Sus scrofa: one gene and its partners. The protein of the gene in region 6 purifies or fractionates together with the protein of the main gene of each other region. This does not show direct contact. Links are inferred from orthologs where the notes say so. Each region holds a gene or a part of one and is shown on either strand. Other genes may lie near its edges. The genes, in order: NUMB, NECAP2, NECAP1, CLTC, MEA1, AP2M1 and RALBP1.

Evidence for each region.
Region 1: the proteins of AP2M1 (region 6) and NUMB purify together in Homo sapiens (affinity purification with mass spectrometry; 3 studies listed by BioGRID and IntAct, counting the BioPlex papers as one, with this or other methods). This does not show direct contact. The link is inferred for Sus scrofa from reciprocal best matches to the Homo sapiens genes AP2M1 and NUMB.
Region 2: the proteins of AP2M1 (region 6) and NECAP2 purify together in Homo sapiens (affinity purification with mass spectrometry; 4 studies listed by BioGRID and IntAct, counting the BioPlex papers as one, with this or other methods). This does not show direct contact. The link is inferred for Sus scrofa from reciprocal best matches to the Homo sapiens genes AP2M1 and NECAP2.
Region 3: the proteins of AP2M1 (region 6) and NECAP1 purify together in Homo sapiens (affinity purification with mass spectrometry; 3 studies listed by BioGRID and IntAct, counting the BioPlex papers as one, with this or other methods). This does not show direct contact. The link is inferred for Sus scrofa from reciprocal best matches to the Homo sapiens genes AP2M1 and NECAP1.
Region 4: the proteins of AP2M1 (region 6) and CLTC purify together in Homo sapiens (affinity purification with mass spectrometry; 3 studies listed by BioGRID and IntAct, with this or other methods). This does not show direct contact. The link is inferred for Sus scrofa from reciprocal best matches to the Homo sapiens genes AP2M1 and CLTC.
Region 5: the proteins of AP2M1 (region 6) and MEA1 purify together in Homo sapiens (affinity purification with mass spectrometry; 3 studies listed by BioGRID and IntAct, counting the BioPlex papers as one, with this or other methods). This does not show direct contact. The link is inferred for Sus scrofa from reciprocal best matches to the Homo sapiens genes AP2M1 and MEA1.
Region 7: the proteins of AP2M1 (region 6) and RALBP1 purify together in Homo sapiens (affinity purification with mass spectrometry; 3 studies listed by BioGRID and IntAct, counting the BioPlex papers as one, with this or other methods). This does not show direct contact. The link is inferred for Sus scrofa from reciprocal best matches to the Homo sapiens genes AP2M1 and RALBP1.

The regions. Positions count from the first base shown.
Region 1 is NC_010449.5:96,634,520-96,638,460, forward strand, and holds part of NUMB (protein numb homolog), read right to left. Parts: intron 983-3,941; coding exon 778-982; intron 1-777. UniProt on the Homo sapiens protein: Regulates clathrin-mediated receptor endocytosis. Plays a role in the process of neurogenesis.
Region 2 is NC_010448.4:75,525,613-75,530,163, reverse strand, and holds the start of NECAP2 (adaptin ear-binding coat-associated protein 2), read right to left. Parts: upstream 2,989-4,551; 5' UTR 2,922-2,988; coding exon 2,830-2,921; intron 752-2,829; coding exon 651-751; intron 1-650. Other genes in the region: SPATA21 (spermatogenesis-associated protein 21), read left to right, coding at 2,989-3,120. UniProt on the Homo sapiens protein: Involved in endocytosis.
Region 3 is NC_010447.5:63,128,576-63,132,516, reverse strand, and holds part of NECAP1 (adaptin ear-binding coat-associated protein 1), read right to left. Parts: intron 3,070-3,941; coding exon 2,988-3,069; intron 2,182-2,987; coding exon 2,073-2,181; intron 1,857-2,072; coding exon 1,673-1,856; intron 1-1,672. UniProt on the Homo sapiens protein: Involved in endocytosis.
Region 4 is NC_010454.4:35,876,726-35,880,666, reverse strand, and holds part of CLTC (clathrin heavy chain 1), read right to left. Parts: intron 2,931-3,941; coding exon 2,817-2,930; intron 2,559-2,816; coding exon 2,385-2,558; intron 1-2,384. UniProt on the Homo sapiens protein: Clathrin is the major protein of the polyhedral coat of coated pits and vesicles. Two different adapter protein complexes link the clathrin lattice either to the plasma membrane or to the trans-Golgi network.
Region 5 is NC_010449.5:38,077,372-38,082,090, forward strand, and holds MEA1 (male-enhanced antigen 1), read right to left. Parts: upstream 2,890-4,719; 5' UTR 2,854-2,889; exon of another isoform or gene 2,743-2,853; intron 2,449-2,742; 5' UTR 2,356-2,448; coding exon 2,086-2,355; intron 2,000-2,085; coding exon 1,897-1,999; intron 1,330-1,896; coding exon 1,178-1,329; 3' UTR 521-1,177; downstream 1-520. UniProt on the Homo sapiens protein: May play an important role in spermatogenesis and/or testis development.
Region 6 is NC_010455.5:122,100,572-122,104,279, reverse strand, and holds the end of AP2M1 (AP-2 complex subunit mu), read right to left. Parts: intron 3,307-3,708; coding exon 3,187-3,306; intron 3,083-3,186; coding exon 2,947-3,082; intron 2,844-2,946; coding exon 2,746-2,843; intron 2,249-2,745; coding exon 2,137-2,248; intron 1,483-2,136; coding exon 1,348-1,482; 3' UTR 872-1,347; downstream 1-871.
Region 7 is NC_010448.4:98,567,654-98,571,594, forward strand, and holds part of RALBP1 (ralA-binding protein 1), read right to left. Parts: intron 735-3,941; coding exon 385-734; intron 1-384. UniProt on the Homo sapiens protein: Multifunctional protein that functions as a downstream effector of RALA and RALB. As a GTPase-activating protein/GAP can inactivate CDC42 and RAC1 by stimulating their GTPase activity.

The DNA of each region.
Region 1 (3,941 bases), on a different chromosome or scaffold from region 6:
TCTCAAAATCTGTGGACATTTCTCCCTAAAGCACTAAATTAACAGTAATAATCTAATAAGAAGAGTAGCACCGAGAAATCTCTGCCTGCATTTACACCTGGTAGCACTGTCAGTGGGTTCTCCGCAGCTTAAAACTGGGACTTGTACTTTTTCCTTCAAGATGTAGGTGTTTTGTTTTTGTTTTTGTTTTTTTTTTTTTTGGTCTTTTTGTCTTTTCTAGGGCTGCACTCGCGGCATATGGAGGTTCCCAGGCTAGGGGTCTAATTAAAGCTGTAGCTGCCAGCCTACACCACAGCCACAGCAATGCCAGATCTGAGCTGCATCTGCGACCTACACCACAGGTCACGGCAACACCGGATCCTTGACCCACTGAGCAAGGCCAGGGATCGAACCCGAAACATCATGGTTCCTAGTCAGATTCGTTAACCACTGAGCCATGACGGGAACTCCAAGATGTAGGTTCTTGATAGCATCTGCTCCTCACAGAGATCAGATGCATCAGAATTAAAAATCTGTTACAGGATGCATGTTTTCCCAATTTTACTTTTAAATGTCTTTGCAGCTTCTTCAACTGTACTCTCAGCTTCCCTGGGTAGTTTAACATAACGGAAGCCACTCTAAAGGAAAAGACTTTGTTTAGATTTTCAGCTTTGTCCTGAAGGTCTTCATTTGCTAAGAGTTCTCTTTGTGAAAAACCTTGCCCCGATAGCTTCCAAACATTAACCTGTTGGGGAAAACTGTTTAAATAAACACACATTGTAGCAGAACAGACTGTACCTTTTTTGGCATCTTGGATTTGTTTCATAATCTCCTCTCTTTCTGCTTGTTCGGTGGCTGTTGTGACACGGAAGGATCCTTCTCTTGTGAAAGTGGTCCGACTGGCATCAAAAGTAGCTGTCACTCCACATTCTTTCTCCCGCTTCTGCTTACGTTCTAAACAGGCTGCAAAAGCACAGCCTACTGCATGGCTCAGTCTTTCACCCTGTACATAACAGGTTTAAAAAAGTTTAGAATTATGGTGTCAACAATTACAAATTATCTTGGGTCACAGATAAGTCTGTTTTCACACTGGCAAAATGTTAGGAATTCCAGCTTAAAATTAGAGTTTAGTATGTTAATATGCCGAATTAAGCTTAAACGAATGATTATATTGGGAAATGCTTATGATCCTTTATGGTAGGAGGCACTGGGTAAAGCGACCCTCAAGAACCTGTGCTTTGTGAGCAGCCACCAACACTTCCTATCAGTCAGGTCCCTTTGTCACTCACGTTAGCTCTGGCCACCTCCTTAGAAGAGATTGTTAAGGTTTCAAGCCCTAAGTCTGGACACACAAACCTCTATTTGCTTTTTAGAGGAATAGTAAGAATATTTACCAAGCATTTCTAAAAAACCACTGCAAATCCAGGACAAATATCAGGGTTTAGATATACTGTCAACACGTCTAGGGACAAAAGGCGTAAACTTAAAACTTCAGATTAATAAATACAAATCTAGTGATGAGAAGGAATGAGATAAAGGAAAGTTTAGTTTTCTCAAGCCTCCCTTTCTGTGTGCTTCCCCTCTGGCCCATTTGGGCCCTCGGTGATTGCAAGCTCTCTCCCATACCTTCTACTTTTTTTCTTTGGCTGCACCCACGGCATGTGGAAGTTCCCAGGCCTGGGATCAAACCTTCGCCACAGCAGCGACAATGCCAGATCTTTAACCCACTAAACCACAAGGGAACTCCCTTTCCTATCTTCTTCTAGCATTCTCTAACCCCAATTCTAACTCCCAACCACACAGAGGCAAGAGTTAAAAGTAGAAAGTTATCCACACTTTCTATTTATAAAGGAATTATGCAGATACATCTCATTTGTTTCTGAGTGGAAAAAGTGGAGGGCTTATATAAACTAAATATTGTTTTAAAAATATATTGGATTGCCTAGAGTAAATTTAATAAACTTGGTGGCTTATTTTTACCAGGGTTACCTGTATTTTATTTTATTTTTATTTATTTATTTATTTTTTTGCTTTTTAGGGCCACACCCACGGCATATGGAGGTTCCCAGGCTACAGGTCCAACTGGAGCTATAGCTGCTGGCCTACACCACAGCCATAGCAATGCAGGGTCTGAGCTGCATTTGCGACCAACACCACAGCTCATGGCAACGCCAGATCCTTAACCCACTGAGTGAAGCCAGGGATCAAACCCGCAACCTGATGGTTCCTAGTCAGATTCGTTTCCACTGTGCCGCGATGGGAATTCCTATATTTTAAACTTTATCCCTAATTGTGAAATTTTAAAATTTAGAGATGATCTAGTAACTGTTGGCATCTTTAACAGTGAGAAGAGATTTGAGAACAGGGAGCCCTTTGTGGAGTTTTCAAAATCACATCAGGTAAGCAGCTGCCCCTACATATGTTTCTGAGTAAGTTTACTGGACTTCAAACGCCCATATAGAGACACTGTAAGAGGAGGTAAATGTCTTCAATGTTTTTTCCCAAGACTTCATTTGACTGTAAACTGTAAGGTCTTATATGACTGCTTATTTAAAGACTGACAGACTCAATCTTTATGAATTCATATGACTTTCTGTCTAACTTCTTCGTAGGATGATAAAAAGGTAGGCATTGAAATGTGAAACAGGAGAGAGTACTGGTAGTGAAAGAATTTTAGAACTTGTCTGCATTTGAACACAGCCCTATTACAAAGACACAACTATAGGCCAAATTAGCTTATTATTTCTCCTAGGCCTTAGGGAAGAAGTTCTTGGAAACAGATCCCTTGAGCTCCATCTCAAACCTACTGAATGAAAAACTCCGCAGGTGAAAAAAAAAAAAAAAAAAAAAAAAACTACAGGTGGGACCAAGCCATCTATTTTAACAAGTTCTTAAGGTGATTCTGAAACGGGAACCACTGGCCTAGGACAGTCAAAGAGCTTGAAGAACCATGATTTGCCAACAGAACTATATTATTTGCCAAAAAATATAGGGAAAATCTTGAACTCTTTGGATTCTGTGAGTGCACTGTTAGCAAAATACCCTGCTTTGTGGCTTAAGGTCTGATAGGAAGAAAGCGTTGTTTAGTTCTTTCAACTCATTCTCAAAGCACTTGTGTCAAAACCAAGGAGGAGCAGCTCTAACAATATCAGCCACTATTCTGGAGCAGTTCCCACAGGGAGGCACTATGTTAAGAGTGTTTATACTCATGACCAAATTCAGTCTTCACACCTATTATCTCCATCTTAGAGAAGTGGATACTAAGACCTAGAAAACGCTAAATAACCTGCCCCAAATCTCACAGTTAGTAAGAACCAGAACCAGGACTGGAACCTATATCTGATTCAGAGCCTGAGTTCCTAATGTTTGTTTATATACTGCTTTAAAAAACCCTTTTAGGAGTTCCCGTCCTGGTGCAGTGGAAATGAAAATCCGACTAGGAACCATGAGGTTGCAGGTTCGATCCCTGGCTTCGCTCAGTGGCTTAGGGAATCTAGCATTGCTGTGAGCTGTGGTGTAGGTCCCAGACTCTTCTCGGATTCTGCATTGCTGTGGCTCTGGTGTAGGCCAGCAGCTGTAGCTCCAATTAGACCCTTAGCCTGGGAACCCCCATATGCCGTGGGTGAGGCCCTAGAAAATACAAAAATACAAAAAAAAAAAAAAAAAACCAAACTAAAAAAACCTTTTGGTCAGCATTGAGTATGGCCACCACTTCCCTTCTAGGTTAAACCTTGGCAAGAGTTACTTAGTTGTAGCCTCCATGAATGCAGAATGGCTATACTGCCTTATTTTGTCTGGACTTTATTTAGTTATTTTTGTTTTTTTCCTAGGGCCTCTCCTGCGGCATATGGAGGTTCCCAGGCTAGGGGTCTAATTGGAGCTGTAGCTGCTGGCCTACACCAGAGCCACAGCAACGTGGGATCCGAGCCGAGTCTGCAACCTACACCACAGCTCATGGCAAT
Region 2 (4,551 bases), on a different chromosome or scaffold from region 6:
AAAATAAATGACTGAAAGCTGGGACATCTTACCGCACCAATCCCTGCTCTGGGTGGGCATGTGTGTGTGTGGGCAGGGGGATCGGGGCTACCGCAGACCATGTTGCCCTCCACTCACCCAGAGGCACTGGGGCTGCAGGACTTCCGGAGCGATTTCACCAAAGGTGACAACTGCCAGCTGACCCCAGCACAGCCCATCTTGGCTTCTCTCACCACAAAAGAGCTGAGAGGGCAGTTTCCAGCTCTTTCAGTTAATAGGTGTGGTCAGTCTGGGAAGTTACCAGTTAGCCGATAAGCAGGATTCCCGAGGAAGAAGCTGAGCTCAGCAGCAGGGGGCTGGGCGTCTTCACCCAGCTTATCTTCCAGGGCTTCCTATGTGGACCAACCCGCAGGTCTTTTCTCCCTGGCCTCCAAAATTAGTATTTTCTTAAGGACATCCAAAGAACATGTGCCTGACAGGAAATACTCCCTTTTAAACTGAAGGTCGGGGGAATGGAGGTGGCTTATAAGGACACCCAGGCCTTTGAATTTCAGGACAGGGTCCCACGGTCCCTGGGTGGCTTGGCCTGGCCAGGCCTGGGCTGCCTCTCCCTTCACAAAGTGGGAGGTCTGAGACCTCAGCCCCTCCTCGCAGGCCTCCCTTGCCTTTACCTGAGGTCCTGTCCTCGAGCTTGATGTAGGCCACCTGCCCTTTTGCAGTGATCCGCAGCCGGCCACTCCATGATGGCTGGTCCAGCTGCCACTCCGAAGCCCTACAGGGACAAAAGCCATTGTGCCTCTGCCAGAGGCTCCTGCTGGGGACGGGAATGGGAAGGGCATGCGGGCTGCCTGCTCTAGACCAGGGGCTGGCAAACTTTTACACGATCTCTGTCCCAGCTACTCACTCTGCTGCTGCAGAGGGAAAGCCGTGACAGTGCATGAAACTGTCGATGCTTTAAGTATTTTAACCAAATATTTTCTACGGAGCATGACTATGTTTCAGTGAAACTTTACGGACAGTCTGAATTGCAAAAATCATTCTTAGCTTGTGAGCCAAAAAAAACCACAGTGGGTCATCGTTTGCCAACCCCAATTCTAGATTATAGAGACCTTCTCTGGAGCAGGATTCCAGTTTTCCTTCTGTAAAGCAAGCAGCTACTGGGACACATGATTTGTTTAAGACTCTGTCAGGCTGTGGTGGTCAGAGTGATCTTTTGGGACCACTGAGACCACTGTGGAAGAAAAGAGAGAAGAGAGCAACAGGACATATGAGCAAAGTGAATGAGTGTTCAAGAAACATATTCTCAAAGGTATCCCAAGAAGAAATAAACCAAGGAAACCATGGACCGATCACAATGGCCCCTTTTGGCTCCTTTAAAGCATAAACGTGACATTTTAGTTCTAAGAAGGAGCTCAGTAAAGCCCCCAAAGAGCAAAAACCTCGGGTGTTTCCAAGAGGCTTTTCTTGGAAGTCCCTAAGCATATGCCAGGACTCGGAAAGACACCATACTGTGGACGCAGGTTGTTTTGAAGTCCACACAAACGCAGAGGCTCGACTCACAAGTCAGCAGACTCAGTTTCAGTTCCTCTTCCCGGGGCAAGAGGCCTTAGACTCAAGGGGGGCAGAGCTCTAAGGCTGAAGTGCAGGGGCTGGCAGTGTCCTCTAAGTCAACATGGCCAGCCCTAACATTTGGTAACTTTGATCCCTGGGGGACCAAGAAGGACCAAACTCATCCTAAGGAAGGGGATGGGGGGTAGACGACCATCCCTGGTTTGGTGGCCCATATCCCGTTTGACGACAGAAAGCAAATACGCGTTTGTTGTTGTTGCTACCGTTGCTTTCATATTTTTAAACTATGTCGTGGATGCCAAAGGTCTTCAAGAACACGTCTGTTCACCATAAAATCAGTATGAGCCCGTGTTAACACAACTGGAAAGTAATGAGAGGCCAGGTAGGTGGACACTCCATGGTCGTTGTGGCACAGGCCAATCCGGTCTTTCCAAATAACTTGGACAAACACTGTCTTCAAGAACCCCATCCACCACCTCCCTCCCACCCCGCCCCACTCCCAGTGGCACAAAATAGCCATAGACCGGGTTGTCTGTATCAGGTACATCTTTTTTTCTTTTAATATTTTTCTTCTTTTGATACATGGTGACAACATGTAAACAACACAAAAAGGTAAACAAGGAAAGGACGTCTCCTTCCACCCCCACCCCCGCCCCACCCCTGTTGTTCTCCTTGGGCCAGTTTCCTGTCTTCCCTGCCACATACCCTACATCCACAAATACTTATGTATTGATTTGGCTCAGGTGAACATTTCACCAGACAAATGTGGATGGATTCCTCCCAAGTGCCACAGGCTGTGATAACGGCTGGGCTTCGCGCCAAGGAAGAGTCCTTGGGCTTTCAACGTCAGCTCTCCGGGACGGGTCCTTGGGGCGGTTCGGGGCTCCCTTCCTTCCCCTCGGGGTTTCTGCCACGGATGGGGCCCCTCCCTCTTAAGCCTTTTCAGGGATCCCTTCAAGGCCATCAGCGCTGGAAAATAAACGTCTATGACACCACCACTCCTGACCACGTTTAGGGGCCCCAACAGCCCACCGGCGTCCCCCAGCGCTAGACACGGCTTTCATGCCTTCCCCACGGCCGGGAGCCCCGTGCGTCGGACTGAGACAGCCGAAAAGTCTGGGTCCCCCTCCCTGCTCTGGCCTCGAACTGGAAGAAACCTCAGCATTACTTCCCCCCTCCTCCCAATAGCCTGGAACTTCCTCAGCTCCCATAGGGGGGCGTGTCGGGGAGGCAGGGATGGGGTTAGGCTGTGACCAGCCTGGCCCGGCGGCGGGTGGTCACCTGTAACCACGGTTGGTGGCCCGCGGCGGGATGCGGTAGACGTGCACCTCAGGCTTGACACAGAGAACCGACTCGTAGCCTCCTTCCTCCATCTCGACGCCGGGAGACCGCGGGACTTCCGGCTCCTTCCCCGCGGCGGGGAGGAAGCCGCGCGACTCTATGACCCGCCTCGGGCTAGAGAGGCAGTTCGTGCACCTCAGCGGTTCGTCGCCCGCGCGCCCTCTGCTGGAGGCCCTGGCTCAAGACATGCGGCGGACAGACACAGGCATCTATCACAAGAAGACAAGGGCTGTCTGGAGGACTGCAGAGAAAATTCAATACAGAACCCACTGCAATCCGTTGTCTCATTGTCATCCCTATCACCTCCAACCTAGCGTCCAGTTGGTTGAGATTCAAAGCTGTAGCTACCTAGACAGCTCACCCTAACACCTCTGGGTTCTCCCAGACTTTGCTTCCTTCTGCTCTTCCTGGATGTCCTCCCATCATCTGACCCTGTAAAACATGATTGAGGCTCTTTCTTCTAGAAAAATCCTTACCTGACCCACCAGCAAAGTGCAATGTCCCTACTCTGCCACCCTTATCCTAGCCCATATGTGAGGGAGTTCTCATTGTGGCTTAGAGGTAAAGAAATGGACTAGTATCCAGGAGGATGCAGGTTTGATCCCTGGTTTTGCCCAGTGGGTTAAGGATCTGGCGTTGCCATGACCTGTGGCATAGGTTGCAGACGTGGCTCGGATCCTGCGTTGCTGTGGCTGTGGTGTAGACTGGCAGCTGCAGCTCCAATTCGACCCCTAGCGTGGAAACTTCCATATGCCGTGAGTGCAGTCCTGAAAAGCAAACAAACAAACAAAAAAAGTATCTTGGTCTTAACTTGGATTTCTCACAGAATGTGATAGGAGATACAATGTCTAATCAGAGTCAAATTCTCAAAATCCTGTATCATCCTTTACAATTCTCTCATTCATTACACAAGTATATAATTCAGTGCTTATAATATGCCAGATCCTATGTGAGGCACAGCTGATCGCAAATCTTTGGTTCACTGAATGCTCCCAAATTTTCTCCATCTCTTTCTTCCCTCTACTCTCTCTCTCCCCCTGCCCTTTTTACTCACTCTAGGTAAGCTGTTTATTACAGGATTGGTCTATTGTCTTAAGTTTTAAAAAACTATTGTGATAAAATATACATAACCTTGGAGTTCCCATCGTGGCCCAGCAGTAACGAACTTGACTGGTATGTATGAGGATGTGGGTTCGATCCCTGGCCTTGCTCAGTGGGTTAAGGATCTGGCCTTGCTGTGAGCTGTGGTGTAGGTCACAGAGGCAGTTCAGATCTGGCTTTGCTGTGGCTGTGGTGTAGGCCGGCAGCTGCAGCTCTGATTGGACCCCTAGCTTGGAAACTTCTATATGCTGCAGGTGCAGCCCTGAAAAGCAAAAAACAAACAAACAAAAATAACAAACTACCATTTAACCATTTTAAGTGTCTAATTCAGCAAAATTAAGTACATTCACAATGTGATATAACTATCACTACTGTCTATTTCCAGAACTTTTCATCATCCCAGACGGACACCCTATACCCATTAAGCAAAAAACCTCATTTTTCCTGCTACCCCCAGCCTCTGGGAATCTGTTTTACTTCCTGTATATGAATTTGCCTGTTCCAAATACTTCATATACTTAGAATCATGCAGTATTTGTCCTTTGAGTCTGATTATTTCAC
Region 3 (3,941 bases), on a different chromosome or scaffold from region 6:
GGGAGTTCCCGTCGTGGCGCAGTGGTTAACGAATCCGACTAGGAACCATGAGGTTGCGGGTTCGGTCCCTGCCCTTGCTCAGTGGGTTAACGATCCGGCGTTGCCGTGAGCTGTGGTGTAGGTTGCAGACACGGCTCGGATCCCGCGTTGCTGTGGCTCTGGCGTAGGCCGGTGGCTACTGCTCCGATTCAACTCCTAGCCTGGGAACCTCCATATGCCGCAGGGGCGGCCAAGAAATAGCAAAAAGACAAAAAAAACAAAAACAAAAACAAAAAAAAACGAGGGTAACTGGGAAAAGGTACATGGGATTTCTTTGTATTATTTTTTACAATTACATGTGAATCTATAATTACCTCAAAATAAAAAGTTTAATTTAAAAAAACAAAACAAATCTCAGATATCTCAGTGACTTCTGGCAACACTTATCAAAAGAAGTAACCTGGAGGAGTTCCTGCTGTGGAAAAGTGGATTAAGGACCTGGTGTTGCCTCAACTCCTGCTGTAGGTCACAACTGAGGAACTTTGATCTCTGGCCTGGGAACTTCCATATGGCTGCAGGTGTGGCCAAAAAAAAAAAAAAGAAAAGAAAAAAAAAAGAAGATGAAGAAGTAGCCTGGAGTTGCCTGGTGGCTCAGTGGGTTAAGGATCCAGCACTGTCCCTGCTGTGGCCTTGATTTGCTCTCTGGCCCACAGGTGCAGCCAAAAAGGAAAAGGAAAAAAAAAAAAAAAAGTAGCCTATAACCACTTTTACCTCAAAAATTCCAGAAAAAGAAAGTCTACTCTTAGCAATCAATTATAAATGATACAATTATTAATGACACAATGTAAAACAAATATTAAAATATAATTAGTTAATAAGTTAAAATGTCCAGATTCTAATATTTGGTTCCCTAATCTTAGGAAATTCCTTTCTGAGTTCTAATTTTGCATCCTTTAAATGGAAAAAACTGTATCTATTCCTTTGTCCTACCAGATAGTAAGGAAAAATGAAAATGTGTTCATAAACCCAGATGTTATCTTATTTCCTCTCAACTGCCCTTGTAGAGAAACAGAAAGGATTATGAAATAACATCCACTGAATGGCTACTATATATATAAGTACTGTGCTGGGTGCCATCACATCACTTCATCCTCACAGTCTTGGGGTAGTTTTATATATCCATTTTACAGGTAATTAATACTGAGACTCAAAGAACTTAAACAATGTTACCAAACACATTCAGATATAAAGCAGAGCTGTGACCAAAATCTTGGCCATCTGACTCTCAAGCCTACTAACATTTCACCAAGGTACAACAAAGGAAACAGTCTTAATATCTACTCATTTTCTGCCAAAGAACCTACCTGATACTATAATTCTCAGCTCACTAGAAAAGCTTTAATCCCTTCCTAAAGGCTGCCAAAATCACCTTGTCAGTACTAAGTGCCATTTATTTATTTACTGGCTGCACCCCTGGCATGTGGAAGTTACCAGGTCAGAGATTGAGCCCACGCCGCAGCAGCAACCCAAGATGCTGCAGTGACAACGCTGGAACCTTGACCCTCTGCGTCACAAGAGAACTCCCCAAGTGCCATTTAATAGCAAAACCATCAACACTCTCCATGGCAAACAGGTACTACCCAATTAAAACTTAAGATATGATTTTTCGAAATTAAAAATACTAGAGATTCACCTGCATCATTACCTCCATGATTAGATTTTGGTATGGGTGGTGGAGTGACATGATTGCTGATGGCAACTGAAGAGGACGGCGGGGGAATTGTGACCTTGCCTCCAGGTGGCGGTGGGAGTAAGCTCAGGCCCCCAGTCCCTGCAGTCTTGGGCTTAGAAGCACCTCCTTTCTTGGTTGTAATGTTCTACAAAAGAAAAAAAGAAAGTGAGAGAAAGAAAAAGAGAGGTCAAGAGCTCCTTGGTGGCCCAGTGGTTAAGGATCTGGCATTGTCACAGCTGTGTCTCAGGTTGAATCCCTGGCTCTGGTCTGGGAATTCTGCACACAGCCAAAAAAAAAAAAAAGAAGAAGAAAAGTCACAGGTTTATGAAAATACAAGAAGGGATGGGAGAACCATACTCACCCCAATACTCAACTTGATGGTCTGTCCTTCCTTGAAACCCAGATCCAACTTGGGACGAGCGTCCATTTCCTGAGATTCTTTGGAAATCTCAGATTCCTGCTTTACCCACCTTCAGTAAAAGAAGGTTGTTTTAATTGGGATCCTCTGAAAGCAGAGTCTGACACACAAATCTGAGTGTAGCTAATTTATGTGAAACACATAAAGGAACATGAAACATGATAAAGGAAAGAGAAAAGCCAAGAAAGAGGGCAACTAGGATTCAATGCCACTGAGGAACCATACAAAATGCATATTAAACTTGTCCCTCCAAAAGAGGGCATTTAGCCACCAGTTCCCATCCTCCACGGCTAAGGGCTGCCCCTGAGGGGGTGTTAATTTCTCAGTTGTTCCAGGCTGCCCCCCCTTTCTAACTAGGTGCCCTTTCACAATTTCAGTAAGTCCTGAAGCAGAAAAGGAGATGTGTCCCCGACCTTGAGATAGGAAGCTGACTACCTGGTGCTGTCCAGCATAGCTGAGCCAAAATCAAATGGGCTGAATACTGCAAAAGGCACAAAACATGCCAACTACAAGAATAACAAAACTGGCACATAACTCCCCACATATCACACACCCAGCCCTACGGTTACTGCTAAGCCTCCCTCAGCCACTTAAAAGCAATGGCGGATGCCCCAGGAGCATAAACAAAAGCATCACCTCAAGCCACTGTACAGGAATTAAAAACATATCCCAGCTATAAGGAAAGGACAGAACAGACACAAAGATAACATGAGAAAACAGTGAATGGAAAGAGTTATATGCAAATGAACTAGTTCACCAAATAAAGAAACCAAGAGGTAAAAGAGACAGTGTCCATTCAACTGAGAAGGAGCATTCCCAAAAAACTTAACCTGGTCGCTAAGAACAAGCTTCACTCACTTGAAGTGATCTTGTAAGGAGACATTAAAGTCGAAGGCATCACCTCGATCTGTGAAGCCAATGCCAATGAAAGCACTGCGCCCTGTTGAAAAAAAAATCAGAATCCTCAGAACAGGAAGTATCCCTTGGGGCAAACTCTGCCCAAGGAAATTATTACCGTTACCCTAACTAGACAGCCATCCGTAAATGTGAAATACTTTCTCACAGACCAGGGGTCCACAAACTACATACAGCCTATAGGCCAAATGCTGCCAGAACTTGTTTTTGTAAATAACTGGAACACAGCCACATAAATTTGTTTACATACTATCCATGGCAGCTTAAACAATATAGCAACAGAACTGAGTAGCTACAGGAGTTCCCTGTTGTGGCACAGCGGAAACAAATCCAACCACAAGGACGCAGGTTCGATCCCTGGCCTTGCTCAGTGGGTTAAGGATCCAGCATTGCTGTGAGCTGTGGTGTAGGCTGCAGACACGGCTTGGATCCCATGTCGCTGTGGTTGTGAAGTAAGCTAGCAGCTACAACTCCGACTTGACCCCTAGCCTGGGAACTTCCCATGCTGCAGCCCTAAAAGGCCAAAAAAAAAACAAGCAGTTACAAAGAAACCACTTGCCCACAAAACCTAAAATATTATTATCTTTGTCTTTATAGAAAAAGTTTGCCAACCTCTGATATAGACTATGGAGAAAAGATAATGACTGCCACAAACATAGATGATTTAAGATAGTCCAACCAAAAGCCACCACAAACAAAGAACAGGCAATATGTTTCAATTCTTTGGTTAGATATACATTTGGATTTATTTACATCTACCTTTAATTACCATGTCTTGAACTTGTGTTCTTTTCTATTACAAATGATATATTAATCCTTCTCCTTTCACAACAAGCTTTAGAGAAAGGGGAGGGAAAATTTAGTAAACTGAAGTAAAATAATTGCATCAGGACACAC
Region 4 (3,941 bases), on a different chromosome or scaffold from region 6:
GGGGTCGAATCAGAGCTGCAGCCACCAGCCTACGCCAGAGCCACAGCAACACGGGATTCGAGCCGCGTCTGCAACCTACACCATAGTTCACGGCAACGCCAGATCGTTAACCCACTGAGCAAGGGCAAGGACCGAACCCGCAACCTCATGGTTCCTAGTCGGATTCGTTAACCACTGCGCCACAACGGGAACTCCCCAGATATACTTTTTTTTAAAGAGAGACTTTCCTTATAGTCATTTGCATACCTGATTTCCACCTTTAATAGTTAACTCCAAAGGGAAGTAAGGAAACAAACCCACTTCTAACTATACTTCCTATAGTCTTCCCCAAATACCAAATCCATATTTTCATCTTTATTCCACTTTTAGACCCATTTCTAGTAACCAGTACTTAACGATGTTCCTATATCTTCTAAAGTACTCAGTTCTACCAAGTTCAGAATTTAAGCAAGATAGTGGCAATAATGTCATCTTCATCCCTTTTGATTTTTCAACCAATAGAAATCACATACTCATTCCTTCAAGGCATCGGTCCAGTAGCAGTTGGCTCTGATTTATTTATTTGCTTTTTAGGGCTGCATCTGCCGCATATGGAAGTTCCCAGGCTAGGGACTGAATCCGAGTTACAGCTGCAGGCCTACGCCAGAGCCACAGCATCACAGGATCTGAGCAGCATGTGCAACCTGCACCACAGCTCATGGCAATGCCAGATCCTTAACCCACTGAGTGAGGTCAGGAGTTTAACCCATAACATCATGGTCACTAGTCGGATTGTTTCCGCTGCACCACAACGGGAACTCCCTGGCTCTGATTTAAACAGTGAAAAAAGTCCTGAGGCCTAAAGGTTACTATAAGCCCCCATCTTCTTACTCAAGACAGGTGGCACAGAAAATTTGTGGTGGGAAGAGAAGGGAAACAGTAAGGTCACAGAATCAAATGAACATTAAATATGTATGGTAAGATCAGTCACAATACTTTAATTTAAATATTATCTTAAAATTATCAGCATAGGGAGTACCCACTGTCACAGTGGGTTAAGAAGCTCGGATTCAACCCTTGGCCTAGGAATTATTCCGTATGCTGTGGGTGCAGCCATAAAATAAAATTAAAACAAACTAACAAAATAAAAACAAAACATCAGCATAGGAGGGAAAAATAGTCTCTGGCTTAACAACTTTATGATCATAAAATTATCACTAACCTAGTTCAGCAAAAGTCCAATAATACACTCTTGATTTTTCCAAGAGAGACACACACAACTGAATAAATGAAAGCTAATGAATTTTTAAAGTCGCTTTTGTGCCAGACAATGACTGGTGTAGAAATACAATTAAAAAAAGAAAAGCTCCTTTCCTAAGGGAGAATAGCAACTGATGCAGTTAATCAAGCACCCATAATTCGTCGTGATAAATGCCATGAGGACGGCTACCTAAGATCTAGGGTCTTAGTGGAGAAACACCTAACCGGGTATGGAGTTGAAGTAAGGCATGGATAAGTAGGAAAAGACTCTTTCTCTAGAGTATTTCTCTCATCATATACATACCATTTTCTGGAAATTAACAGAATAAAGGAGGGGAAAAAAACCTATCTACTTCTTTTGCTTACAAACTAGGAAAAATACTAATTTGAAGGAAAACTAGTAAAAAGCAAGATCAATTAACAGCTTGTTTTTGAAAAGTTTACCATATTTTTAGAGGAAAAAGTATCTCCTGAGAGAATACTTTAACATATAAAATACTAAGAAAACATATAAAAACGATCACTTGTGTTAGATGGTGTGAAGCGGTTTGTGAAATGTGACAAAAGGTAACTTTTCAATTACCCTACAAAAGCTATTGTAACATATCATCTTCCAACACTGAACATGTAGTAACAGGGAGTTTCCTGGCGGTCAGGTGGTTAGGACTTGGCATGTTCACTGCTTCAGCCTGGTTTGATCCCAGGTCTGGGAACTGAGATCCCACATCAAGCCACTGCATATCATGGCCAAAAAAACATGAAAAAACAAAAAATGAACAAAAATTTAGTAATTACTTAAAGAGTGAGGAAAAAAAGAGGTAAGAAGAATTCTTTTCCTTGTAGTTGATAACCTGTCTTAGAGACCATATGAGGATAACCCACTATAAAAAGTATAGTCAGTCAAATGTGACTGTAATAGTTTTTGCATGAAGCGCCACTTCTTTTGATAATAGAGACATAAACACAATCCTAGGCTATAATATATGCCAAACAGTTTCTCACCCTGAGACAATGTTAAAGCAAGAAACTCTATCATATCCTTCTGCATATTTAGGTATATATTATTTTCTGACATTCAAAGTTAAAGCTAACAGTAGTAAGTGCTATTTTATTTTATCACAATTTAATTTTCAAGGTTTCCTTACTTGTCCCTTTCTGTTTACTCCAATTATTCCAGCTGTGGCTTCATGAGGTGCAGTAACAAAGATTGTTTCCCCACTGATTCTATTCATGTAGATGCAGGTACCAGTCTCAAGATCATAGAGGTGGATATAGCCATACTTCGTAATCAAGAATACTACATCATGTTTCTCACTTATCTGTACAAAGAAAATCAACACTTCAGTAAAATAATGAAACATACAAAAAGAAAATTTAGTCCAATTCCATTTTAGAGATGGTGAAATTCTAGAACTTTGACAAGAGGCTTCTATGAAAAATTAAAAGCTAGTATTTATGGTCTCTTCATTTTTACAGTAAATTCAAATATGGGAGAGCCCCAGAACTTACATAAAACACAAGAACACTAATACGTTATATAAAAGAGAAAACAAGTCCTTTTGATTTGCTTAAAATACCTGCATTGCAACAGGAAAGTCATTTTGTGCTTCTGGAGGAAAGAAAACATCCACTGCCTTCTTTGGGAAGGGCTGGTTCCCTGTTGGTGGTGTGCCAACTTCAATAATATGTAACTGTTCAAAAGAAAATAAAACTCATAATCAACTTCTCAAAGGACCATAGCAGCTTTATTTGCAAGCCCCAAACTAAAAACAACCAAAATGTCCTATAATAGGTGAATATTAACTATATGGTACAACCATACCACAGAACACTCCTCAGTAATAAAATGAACTTTCATAGACATTAGCTCAGTGGGAACAACAGAAAAAAAGGCCACTCTCAAAAGATCACATACTACATGAGTCTATCTATATAGCATTTTGGAGAAGACAAAATTCTAAATGGAGGGTAAATTAGTGATCAGGGGTTAGAGACAGTGAGGAAGAAGTGGTAGCAAAAGAGAAATATTTGTGGTGACGGAATAGTATATATCTTGAATCTACTCAATGATAATTATACCAAAGTCAACTTCTGGTTTTTCTGGTGTACTACATAGCAATGTAAGATGTAACTGCTGGAGGAAGCCAGGTAAAGGACATAAGATCTCTCTCTCTCTCTCTGTACTGTCTTTGCAGTTTCCTATGAATGTGTATTGTTTCAAGGTAAAAAAAAAATTTGAATAACTCCAACAATCACACCTCAATCTACCTTAAGTTAAGGCCAGAGAATGGTAAAACACCACCCACAAAGGGGCTTTCTCACGGCTTCCAATTATAATTTAAGTTTCCGAACAGAACTCTAACTTATTAAGTTCTTCTCTGCCCACATCTACTCTAAACACAGGTGGAAAAGTATACACCTAAGTTGTCTCTCTAATCACATCCAGCTCAGAAGTTGAATGACAACATTCTGACTCAAAATGTCTGAGGATGCCCATCAGTGAGCAAGGCAAGAGAAAGCAAATAATGTCAATGAAAGAGTGTTTTTTATTTTGCTTAGTCATGTCAGGAATGGACTAAAAAAATAATTCAGTTCCAAAAAGTCATAAGGTCTCATCCTTAATTAGGACGAGTAGCCATACTGAAAAAATTATGTCTTCTCTAAAATACCATGGCAGACTACAAAATATATAGCACATTATA
Region 5 (4,719 bases), on a different chromosome or scaffold from region 6:
TCCTCACCTCCCCGCCACAGGGCCACAGCCCACTCGGCCCTGGGACACTGCCCCGGCCCTCCACCCTCTGCTCCCCACTGGCTGACTCTGGGCAGGGCAGTGCCTCTCTACTCCAGGGAGGGGGGTGTGGCGCTTGAAGCAGGGACCCCCCCCACAGAGCGGTCCCTTGTCTCCCCCACATGTGTTCATGCCTCCCCGCGGCTAGTACAGAGGCTGTGCGCTGCGATGCTCAGTGCTCAGACAACTTGGGGACGCCTGGCCCCCTCCTGCTCCTCACCCACAGCTACATGAGGCCGCTCTGAGAATACACACAGGAATATACGCCCCCTCCCCTCTTCCCTTCAGCCTCCTTGGCACCCCAGGTGTCTCCTCCTCTCCCTCCCCTGCAGGCATATAGGGAGCAGTGGGAGACAATTCTCACCAAAGTTATGTCGCCCCATTGGTCCCTGGAGTGGATTAGCTGCAGGGGAGCAACCCCCGATGGCACAAATAGGCCCCCAGCCCCGGCAGTGCGCAAACTGATGGGGGTGCGTTATTTCCTCTTACCTTCTGCCTGACCAAGACAACGTGGGAGGGCAGAAGGGAGAAAGCATAGGCTCTGGACAAGAGGTGGTGAATGTGGAGCCCTGATGGACCAAGAGAAAGGGATGAACAAACACCCCACCCTGTGCCCCCTTTTGGGTGAACAGCAGCCCCGGGATCATTGACACAGAAGGGACCACCCTGGGGCTGACTGCTCTATGGTGTTGGTTGCCAAAGCCGGGAGGAAGGAAGCAGGGAGCAGTGCCCCAAGCATGGCTCCCCCCAACACCTATTTATTTCCTTGTTTGTACTGATGCTAGCCAGGCCCTCCCTTGTCCCTTTCAGGCACCCTGGAGGGACAAGACGCTGGGGAGGGCCGGGCTTGAGGTCCAGGGGCACAGGCAGCACAGCTTCTGGCTGTGTACATAGGGTGCTTTATTCTCCACAGAGTGATACATGCTAAGGTGGGTTGGGCCTGGGTGGATGTCCCCATATGTACAGAACTGAATAAAGTGGGTCTCTGAGAAGACGTCTGATTTGCCTTGATGTGGAGAGGGAGGTGGGGAGGATGGAGATGGACACTACAACCAGGATGCGTTCAGTCCTGTGCTGGTTCTGGCCTCGAATGCAGGGAGATAAGGCAGCCTCAGGGTGGTCACTTCCAGGCAGGGGTGGCCTGCCGGGCTTGGAGGGCCTTCTGTACCACATCTTCCCATTGGGCATCTGATATCTCCCGAGCCCAGGCAGGAACCCCTGGCGCAGGCAGGCTTACTCCAGCCATGGTCCTTTTCACCAGCTCTACGTGTTCTGAAATCACAGGCAGAGACCAGTTAGGGAATAGAAACAATGGACCCGTTCCCCTCTCCTTTGGCTAAAGGAACCCAGAGCTTTTGGGACACTGAAGTCATCTTGTGATTCCTAAGCAAGCCTGCACCACCCCCCCCTACCGCCCCACAACAAGTCTAAGAAAAGCATTTCACCTGGATTCTCAAGTTTGCAAACTTACCACAAACTGCTGCTTTAGGAACAGGGTGATCCTCTGTGACTCCCCTCTACTGGCTCTAACCAGTTCCCTTCCTCCGTAATTATTCCAGAATAAAAGAACGATCTCTTGGAGTTTCCGTTGTGGCCCAGCGGTTAACAAACCCAACTAGCATCCATGAGGACACAAGTTCGATCCCTGGCCTCACTCGTGGGTTAAGGATCCCGTGTTGCCGTGAGCTGTGGTGTAGGTCGTAGATGTGGCTTGGATCCCAAGTTGCTATGGCTCTGGCATAGGCCTGTGGCTACAGCTCCAATTGGGCCCCTAGCCTGGGATTCTCCATATGCTGTGGGTGTGGCCCTAAAAAGAAAAAAAAAAAAAAACTCTTTTACCTGGGTCCATGGGAATAGAGCTGTGGTTGCTCAATGCTGTAGCTCCCTCTTCATCTTCATCCTCACTTTCTAATGGGGGGTCTGGCAAATGAAGCCCCAAGGCCTGCAGAGCCAGAGAAGACAGTTCAGGGTCATCCCTTCAGGGATTCCAGCTTCACCTGTTCAGGAACAATGCCTCCTCCACCATACCTGGATTCGATCCTGGATATCAGCAACTACATCTTCTCCATCTCCCACTGGTGCCAGCTCCACCTCCTCTTGTTCAGGATCTTGGTTCAGGGGCTGGTAGGAGTAGCCAGCTGGGCCTGTTCCTGTTTCCTCTTGCTCTTCCTCTGGCTCCTCACTGCTCCAATCCCCAGTGCCTTCTGTAGGGCCCTGGTGTGGCCCGAGTTCTTCAGTCTGATTGGGGAAGATACGTTCAGGACCCATGATGTCTCCCCCTAGAACTACTGCTGCCATCGGGCAGGGGCTGCAAGAACATGGAGACAGGAGAACAGAGATCAGACAAAATTAGGCCCAGCTTTAGCCTGTCATCCAGTCCCGTGCGGTCTCCTCCTGCGCCCACAAAACATTGAAACGCCCAAGTTTCCTGCACCCCACAACACCTCTCCTGGACTCTCCACCTCTTGAGCTGGCTCTTATCTCCAACCAAGGCCCACTTGCCTTGCTCCGACAATTCTTAAATAACAGCCCAAGCGAAGGCCATGCCACCTTCCAAAAGACACCCCTTCGGGAACGCCCTCCCCCCCGCCCCATCCACTTAGGAACTCCGGGTCACCAAACAAGCTCCCCTAGACAAGGCATACCCGCCCCCTTCTCTCCTCTCTAAGGGATTTCCCTCTGTACCGCCTGATAAACGCCCTTCGGACCCCAGGAGATCCCTTCAAATGGCCCCAGATGTGGCGTCCCCGACCCGCCCCCACCAATTCTCGGCGCCGGTATTTGCGCGCGCCTCACCCGCTCAGAGCCCGCGGCCGAACCCCGCACCTTCACTTCCGGCGAGGCAGGACGTTCCGAGGCGGCCCCGTCCTCCAGCCCCGCCCCGCCGCGCTCATGATTGACACGAGTGAAGGCGAAGGGTCCGCCCCTTGCTCCGCCTCCACCATCTTCTCGCCAAACAAAGGACTACATTACCCGGTAGGCCCCGCGGTTGTTTGTGTTTGGTTTTGTTTTGTTTTGTTTTGTTTTTTTTAATTTTAGGGCCGCCTGTGTAGCATATGGAAGTCCCCAGGCTAGGGGTTGAATCGGAGCTACAGCTGCCCGGCCTACACCACAGCCACAGCAACACGGGATCCGAGCCGCGTCTGTTACCAACACTGCAGCTCGTGGCAAGGCCGGATCCTTAACCCACTGAGCGGGGCCAGGGATCGAACCCTCATCCTCTTGGATACTAGTCAGGTTCGTTACCACTGAGCCGCAACGCGAACTCGGCCCCGCGGTGTTTGATAGGTATAAGCACATGCGCAGACTCCTCCGACTCCTGCCCATCCTTCAGCCCCTCGCGTTCCTCCCGAAACCGATGGACTACAAATCCCGGTAGACTTCCGGCACTTAGAGCTGAATGCACGTGCGCTTACAGCTGCCCGCCGGAAGGACCGAGCCTGGCTGTGTTTATCTCGTTGGAGATCCAGTCGGCAGTTGGCGGGCAACGGGTTCAAAGCTGCAGGCAGCGCGAGGACCCGCGGCCCCGCCCCGGCCCGGCCTGGCAGGTAGCCCGTGGTGGGTTGAGGGACGAGGAAAATCATAGGGGATGGGGACGCCGATGCCTAGAGCTGAATTGTGGGGGAGGGGCCGGAGACCGATGAGGTGGGGGTGGGGAGGGGGATGACGGGAAAGGAGAGTGTTAAGGGGGAAAGAAGGGCTGGGGGAGGATGGTGGGGAAAGCGATGGGAGAGACCTGGTAACTGGAGAAGGCACTGAAGGGAACTGGAAGGAAGACTGGGTTAGGAGGAGAATGGGAAAGCTGAGGATAATGGAAGAAAAGGGCGGGGGTGTCTGGTGTTGTGGGGGCAGGGAGGTTGGAATGACTGGAAGAAGACCCGGATAGCGTCATATACAGGGAGGAATATCTCTGGCCGAAAGGGGTCAGGGGATGTTAGCTTGTTTCCCCCCTATCGAAAGAAGGAAAATGGAAGGCTGTCGGGGTGGAGCTTGGAGTTGTGGGAGAAGGAAAAAGCAGAAAACTGCAAAGCTCTCAAGAGATCTGAAAAGGCCAGAAACGGAGAGTGAAAATTGCAAGAGAATAGGAAGGGGGGCAGGTCTCTGAAAGGCATGGAAGAAGCTGGAGAATGCCGCAGTGATGGAGCACGGACGGGAGAGCCCCAGGGATCAGAGGCGCCCGGGAGATGCTGGGGCTTGTCTTTCATGAGCTTGAGTTGTCCTTTGGAGAAGACGCTGAGGGTTTTTTCCTCTACCTTTGGATGGAATTGCTTCCCTCTTGCCCAGTGAATTCTTTACTTTACCTTGATATAGCTGAAGAGGAGAGTAGAAGCTGTGAGGGAAGAGGAAGGACCCCCATTCTTAAGCTCTCCAACTTCCTTCCTATCTGTCCCCACAAGCCCAGATCCAAGAGCTTTTGGATTGAGGACGGGAGTAATGAAGTGAGAGTGGTTTCCTGCTGGGGCTATTTCAGGTTTGGCAGAGTGGGGGAGGGTTGGGGGAAGTTGGGTGGGGGCAGGGGTCTGGCAAGCCAGCTCAAAGCCCTGTGTCTTTCTTGCAAGGGACCTTCCTTTACTTGAGCTTTTTCTGTGCCTGAGGTTCGGGCTAGCTCTTCTCTCTGCCAGGGCTTCTTGAACAGGGAGCAGATGATCCACCCAAACCCAG
Region 6 (3,708 bases):
CTTCTAGATCTAGTAACTATTTTACATGAAACAGAACTCTGACGCAGAGATGACAGATATGGTTTCTTCAACATTGCAAAAGCCAGGGGAGAACCTATGGTTTTTAAGATTGAAGAAGCAATCACCAATCAAAATGGACCTTGTTTGGATCCAGATATAAGCTGTGAGAAATTCTGTAGGACACTTGGATTAATAAGCATGAACACAGACTGGATGTGATATTAAAGAATTGACCACAAGTTGAAACATCATGATGGGACATGGGGTTCATTATATATTTTCTATTTCTGTTTGTTTGAAAAATTTCTCTAACAGATATTTTAGGTTTAAAAAGGCTAAGACCAAGCAAGGGAAAACTGGTGATGGCACATCTTTATCTGCTCCAACACCTGAGCAGAATAAAGAAAACTCCATTAGAGACTTGCTTATTTGCACACAATGCTCTGGAGAGGGGGAGGCATAGAAGGGAGGAATTTTGTTAAGAGGCCTGGGAAGAGGATGGAATTGAGAGGTTAGTTTCTAAGGATGGCTGGAAAGACCAACTGTAAACCCTGCTTAATCTCTGCCAATAGAGAAATACCTGCCTAAAATAAAGCTGAGGCTGATTTTAGGAAAAGAATCTCTACCCTCAAGGAATTGAGTGGCACGGTGTCAGGTGGGGCTGCCTGCCCTTGAGGCTATTTCTCAGAGGAGACCTGGAGCTAATACCTGTCAGGATAAGGGCTTGGATGGCCCTAGCAGTTGAGCCTTGACAAAGGAAGAGAGTTTAGAAACGAAATTCTGCTCAAGACAGTCCTTTTAAGACAGGAAGGAAGCGGTCCCACCAGATCCCCTCCCCATGTAGCCACCACATCAACACTTGGCCAGCAACTCCGTTCTACAGAGTTTATTGGGTTTATAACTGGACGAAGTCACAAGTGTACAAAATGAAGCTCACACTAGCCCAAAGCAGAGTAGGAATTGAGGGCTGGGGATCCGTTACTGGCCTTTGGGGGAGCTCCGAGGTGAGGGGCAGCCAACCCTCCCACTCCAGAGAGATGTGGCCATAGGGGAGGGGAGGAGAAGGGGCCCATCTGACTTTGGTCACAGAACTCAGAGCCTGGCATTGGGCCAGGGCTGGCAGATGGATGGAAGAGCAGGAGCCTCAGAAACCACCCTGCCCAGGGAGCCCAGGGACTGTTCCACCAGTCCCGCTTGCAACATGGTTGGTCCAGACCTAGACTCAGGGGCTGGTGCAAAGGGAAGGCAGCAAAGCAGGAGGGAGGAGACACTGATGTGTGGTGGCCGAGGGCACCCAGACCTGTGGAAGAGGGTGGGTGGGGAGACGGGCTAGCTGTCACTAGGCAGCTAGCAGCGGGTCTCATAAATGCCACTGCGGCCAATGTAGCGCACCCATTTGATGACATCGTGGTCGCTGTAGTTCAGCTTCGGTTCAAACACCTTCAAGTAGCGCACCTTGAGGCCAGAAGGCGCGAATGGCACCTGGGCAAGGGACAGCTCCAGTTAGGAATGTGGCCTCCCTTTCATAGCTCCTCTCCTCATAGCCCTGCCCTACCTCATCTCTACTACAGGTGTTTGAATCTTTGGGGCCCTTGGGGAAGCTGGGGTGCTGAGGGGTCCTCTGAGAGGTTACTAAAGATAGCATATCCAAGAGTAACTTGCAATCATTTGGGTTTGAAGTCAAGCTCTGCCTGTGACAACTTAAAGATCAGTTCCTTTAATCAGCAGCGGCAGTAATCAAAGACTTGCCTTCGAACATACTTATCCTGCTCAATATTATGGACTTAAACAGTAAGGTGGAGAAAATTACATGTCCATCATGCACAAAGCAAAGTCAGCCCGCTTTCCTGTCTCTAAGTAAACTTTGTGTCTTACTTGTCATGGAAGTAATCTACATTTTCCCTAATAATTGTTTTATGACAAGCCAAATAAATGAAATCAAAGATTTTTGTCTAAATAGAAATTTCTAGTAGGAGGCCTGAGTGGGGAAGGAATAGGTCTAGGAATTGAGGTTACTTCTCTCTGGGCCTCAGCTTCCTCATCTGCAAAGTGATAAATACTGAGCTTGATCCGAATGATCTCTAAGGTTTTTCCTAGCACACCCTGCCATGGTTCTAGGCCCCTTCCCTGCCATACCTCAAAGTTCATCGAAATGGGGGGTCGAGCCCATTTCTTCTTGTCATTGGTGGGCAGAAGCTCAATCTCAGCGCTGATCTGTGATTCCTTCATGCCTGCCATGCGCTTGATCCTGGAAACAGAGGGGCAACAGGTAGTAGGTGCCCCTAAGAGCTTGGAGGAGCTTCCGGGATCAGGGTGGTTCCCCTTTGGGAGGTTGGGAGGTGGCAGGGAAGAGAACCCAGCAGCTTGTGGGAAGTGCTAAGGCAAGGAAACATGATGAGGACTCTGATAACCTCCTGCTGTGAAACCTCGGGTCTGTTACTCCTTTAGCACTGTGCACTGCAGTTTAGACACATGACCATGCTATCCCTTGCTCCATCTACTTCACAGAGATAGGACAAGGGCAAACTGGGAAATGTTAAAGAAACTTGATAAATGCATAAACTCGCCCCAGTGATATGTACACTCACACAGAGCTGTAAGGGGTGACGACACAAGCAGAGGTCCCTGGAGAAACAATCACTCCCCACCCCCTGCCACACACACACAAAGGATGAAAGGGGAAACTTAACAGGGTACACCAAGGCATTTGGAGCCCTGCTGTGGCCTCAAGAAGGAAAGACTCACTTCCACACGATGGCGTTCTCGCTGGCCTTGTACTTAGCCTTCCCCTTCATGCAGATCACCTGCACCCCGCTGGTGTTCAGTGGGGTTGGGATCCTCACCTAGAAGTGACACACCTGTCAGCGAGCGCTGCCAAGCACTGACATCAGCTGCCTTTATTGCTGAAGAGAGATGCTTCCTCCTCCCCATGTTCCTTATCCTCACCTCAATCTTCTGAGCCAGTAGTGAGGGCTTGAAGTTGGACTTAATGACCACCTTGACCTCCAGCTTGGTGCGCCCCACTTCCCGAACTAGCGGGATCACTCGGAAGGGAAGGATGATGTCCTTGGTGGTGCGATACCTTCAGAGATGCAATACCTTTAGGCTGGCATAGCAGAGCCTGTCCTCTACCCTTTCCCCCCTCTCTGCCAACAGGACCCCCTGTTCCTCACACCCCACTGGCACCTCATGAGCTCAAATTCTCCATCTGGTGGGATGAAGCTGATGCTGCGTTCAGAGTCAAACTTGCTGAGTCGAACACACTGGTGGAAGGTGCAGTCATCAATGGCAATTGATTGCTTCCCGCTGCAAGCAAGGGCAGAAGGTCTCCTCATTGGTACAGGAGAGTGGCAGCAGAGTTGGGCTGGGAGACTACCCCACCCCCAGAGGCTGCCAGAACCTGGATGAGGCTTGCACTGTAGTCTATGGAAAGCTGCCATAATGCAGCTTTCTGACTTGGGAGGGGGCAGTCCCTGTTCCAGAGTTAGGGATGAGTGAGAGCTTTACAAACTCATCATCTTTTGAGAGCTCTGCTGCTCAGAACTCAGTTTTAGGCATACTGGGCAGGCAAAGGCCATCAGTATGTAGAGAAGAGTCTTGGACCTTTGGACCTCAGGACCAAACCAAGGGGTTACTGAGTAGAATGAAGACAATCCCCTATCTCTTTTAAGCAGATACTAAGAGCAACCAGCCAAGCACAACCTGGGG
Region 7 (3,941 bases), on a different chromosome or scaffold from region 6:
TATTCTGTGTGATATGATTAAGTGGTAACACTATCTGATGAAATAACTAAATCTTTAACGTCCTGTAGATGAACGGGTCACCGTCACCCGAAGATACTGTGGGCTCCTCCTCCTCTATGGACAGTTCACTGTCATCAGCAACTGGTTCACAAACCCACACCAAAGATGGGACAATATGCAGATTTCACAGCTACAGCCAATAGGCCAACATGCTCATTATCTGACATGTCAACACTGTCCACACTGTAACAGAAAAAGACCAACATCCAGGCTAAGCCTCTGGTTCACTGCTCTGTGTGGCTCAGCAACAGGACGCGTCCCCGAAACCCCAGGGCTGGCCCAGAGGGCCCGTGTGCACAGCTTGAGTGCAGAGAGGCCGTGTACCTGGACAGTTGGGCTGAGCACTATAGAAATGTTCTGGATGTTCATTTTTGTTTCCAGCTCCTTGGAGATCACATGGTCCATGTGCACGATGAGCCAGGAGATGAGGAGCTGGTTACACTCGGGCAGCTCCCACAAAAGACGCTGGAGCTCCTGTACCTTCTCACCCTCCGAGCTCCGCCCACAGGCCTCCTCAAAGCGGGGCGTGAGCTCCTTGGTGAGCAGGTTTTCAGGCAGGTCCCGAAGGTACTGCTTCAGCAAACTGGCCACAGTGTTGGGCTCATACTCCTCCAGGTTGGGAGACTCCTCTCTGTCATAGGCTGCTTTCAGCTCATCCACCTTGGATTTAATTCCTGAGAACATTCCAATTCAGATGAGAAGGAAAGTGTCAAGAGGAGAAAAAAAAAATCAAACATACAGCCACCTTTGCCACAGCACCCACCCCCCAGGGAGGTCTGAGAAGAGGCCCCAAGACAGTAACAAACCACTAATGGGGCTTTTTACCGGCACAGAGTTCCTCCATAGAGAAGACAAAAGACTATACTAGGAGGTTGACTTTAACCAAAAGTGAAATGATAATGAAAAAACTCAATATTCAGAAAAAAAAAATCAAAGCAACCAAATATGCCAATCAATTCAGGAAAAAAAAAATTTTTAACTTAAAGATAGGTACAAATTCTGGCAAAAACTAAACTATGCTCCAAGCATAAGCCTTGCTCTACACAAGGGGCCAACTGCTTTTTCGAACTAGTCACAAGACTAACACCATAAAATGCAACTTGGTACATGTAAGCCTGTTCCAAAAACTTGTTGGTAATGACTTTTTTAGAAGGTAAAGTTGTTCAATAAATGCAAAAGGTGAGTTCACTATCTATATAAACTCTTGTTGGTCCTCATTAAATAATACCCATCTGATTTTTAAGTTTAAATTCTTTGCATGTTTTCTTAATCTGAACCTAGGAACCAGCAAAAAAAAAAGGAAAATGTGGGTTACTAAAATTGAATTGTTTTGCTTTTCTTAGTAGACAGAAAGAAACATACATACACCAATGTTTTTCAGACACTATTTAATTAAGTCTTTAGCCCAATCTGCACTTAAGTGACCTAACTCAGTGACAGTGATGGCTCATGAGTACAAAGTAGCTTTCTGTGGTTTTTAACACTTAAAACTTTAGGCCAAGATTTACTGGTCAGCTATAAAAAAGGATGAAATTCTACCATTTGTAATAGCACAGATGGACCTAGATAGAGGTTGTTATGCTAAATGAAGTCAGAGGAAGACAAATACTTTATATGTGGAATCTAAAAAGATAAAACAAAGTAGTGAATATAACAAAAAGAAACAGACTCACAGATATAGAAAACAAATCAGTGGTACCAGTGGGGAAAGGGGGTGGGAGGGGCAAGATACAGGTGGGATTAAGAAGTACAAACTACCACGCATAAAATAAATAAGCTACAAGGACTGTACTGTACAGCAAAAGGAATATAGCCAACATTTTATAATAACTATAAATGGAACACAACATTTAAAAATAGTGAATCAGGAGTTCCCGTCGCGGCATAGTGGTTAACGAATTCGACTAGGAACCATGAGGTTGCGGGTTCGATCCCTGCCCTTGCTCAGTGGGTTAATGATCCGGCGTTGCCGTGAGCTGTGGTGTAGGTCGCAGATGGGGCTCAGATCCCGCGTTGCTGTGGCTCTGGCGTAGGCCGGGGGCTACAGCTCCGATTCAACCCCTAGCCTGGGAAACTCCATATGCCGCAGGAGCGGCCCAAAGAAATAGCAAAAAGACAAAAAATAAAATTAAAAAAAATTAAAAATAAAAAAAATAAAAAAATAGTGAATCAGCATGTTGTACTCCTGAAACACATGACACTATACATCAACTACGCGTCAATTAAAAAAAAAAAAAAAGGAGTTCCCTGTTGTGGCTCAGAGTTGATGAATCTGACTAGGGTCCATGAGGACTCAGGTTCTATCCCTGGCCTGCTCAGTGGGTTAAGGATCCGGAGTTGCCGTGAGCTGTGGTGTAGGTCGAAGATGCAGCTTGGATCTGGCATTACTGTGGCCGTGGTGTAGGCCGGAGGCTACAGCTCGGATTGGACCCCTAGCCTGGGAACCTCCATATGCCACGGGTGTGGCCCTAAAATGACAAAACAAAAATAAAAAACAACAGCAAAAAATCAAAAACAGGCCAATTACTGGAAACAAGCCACAAATTAAGGCTGACAGACTATAATGTAAATGACACTCCAGTGTCATTTAATTTGAAGAGAATTTTATAATCAACTATGCTTACCTCTGGGCTCTGAAATTTCTTATCTTATGTGTAAACCTTTCAATGGGACCACAATACATCAGTAACTTATCCAGCACTGGTGAAATAAAATCAGCAACTCTGAGTATGAAAATAACAATATGAATCTTTTCTTTTTTTTAATGGAGGCATCCTCGGCATATGGAAATCCCCAGGCCAGAGACTGAACTCTCATCTGCGCGGCAACCCAAGCCACTGCAGTCAGATTCTTATCCCACTGTGCCACAAGAGGAATTCCAACAATATGAATCTTATTTTTTTCACAATCTTTATCTTGAGGCAGGAAAGTTAGAAACTAATTCCTATTTTCCTACTTTCATAAGTAACACATGGTGACTCCTAACTTTAACTGAAATTCTTGGAGTTCCTGTTGTGGCTCGGTGGGTTAAGAATCCAACCAGTATCCATGAGGAGCCGGGTTCAATCCTTGGCCTCTCTCAGTGGGTTAAGGACCCGGCACTGCTGTGAGCTGTGGTGTAGGTTGCCCACGTGGCTCAGATCTGGCATTGCTGTGGCTGTGGTATAGGTCAGCAGCTGCAGTTCTGATTCGACTCCCAGCCCGGAAACTTCCACATTCCATGGGTGCAGCCTAAAACGGAAAAGAAAAGAAATTCTTGACAAAGACCTCCTCCCTCTCTCGCATATATATTTCACAGATTTCAAATTTTCCCCCAGCAATGCCTGTTCAGAAGATTGCACAGTGAACAATTTAGAGTAAGAATTTGGTTTGTTATCAACATGTTTTCCCTGCAAAAACTGGACGCTTCAAATACAGCGTCCCAGGTACGGAAAGACAATAAGCAAAATTTGTTAGTTTTACAACTGGAACTTACATGTGAATAAATGAGAACCAAAGTTCTCTAGCAGAAACCAGTATTATCAGCCTTCAAAAAGAAAAGTCACAGCCATAACTCTGTAGTCCACAGAGGGCTGAACACAGCACACTGCCAGAGCTTCAAAAATAAATACAAAATTGATCAAAGCAGAAGCTCAGTCCCCAAGGAGCCAACCAACAGGGGAGCAGCTCAGTTTGAATGCTCTGACACATGGAGAGAGGAGTTTCACAACTCTGGCTCCGAAAGAGGGCAAACATCAAAAATAGGTCAAAGACAAAAGAACCCTTTGAACAAAGCTCTAAGACCTCTTCAGAATCCTTCGCCTAAAACAAAACTTCTTCATGCCTATCAAAATCACGAGAGAAGCAGCTATGTTAGTATTGTTCAGATCTTTACAAATCCA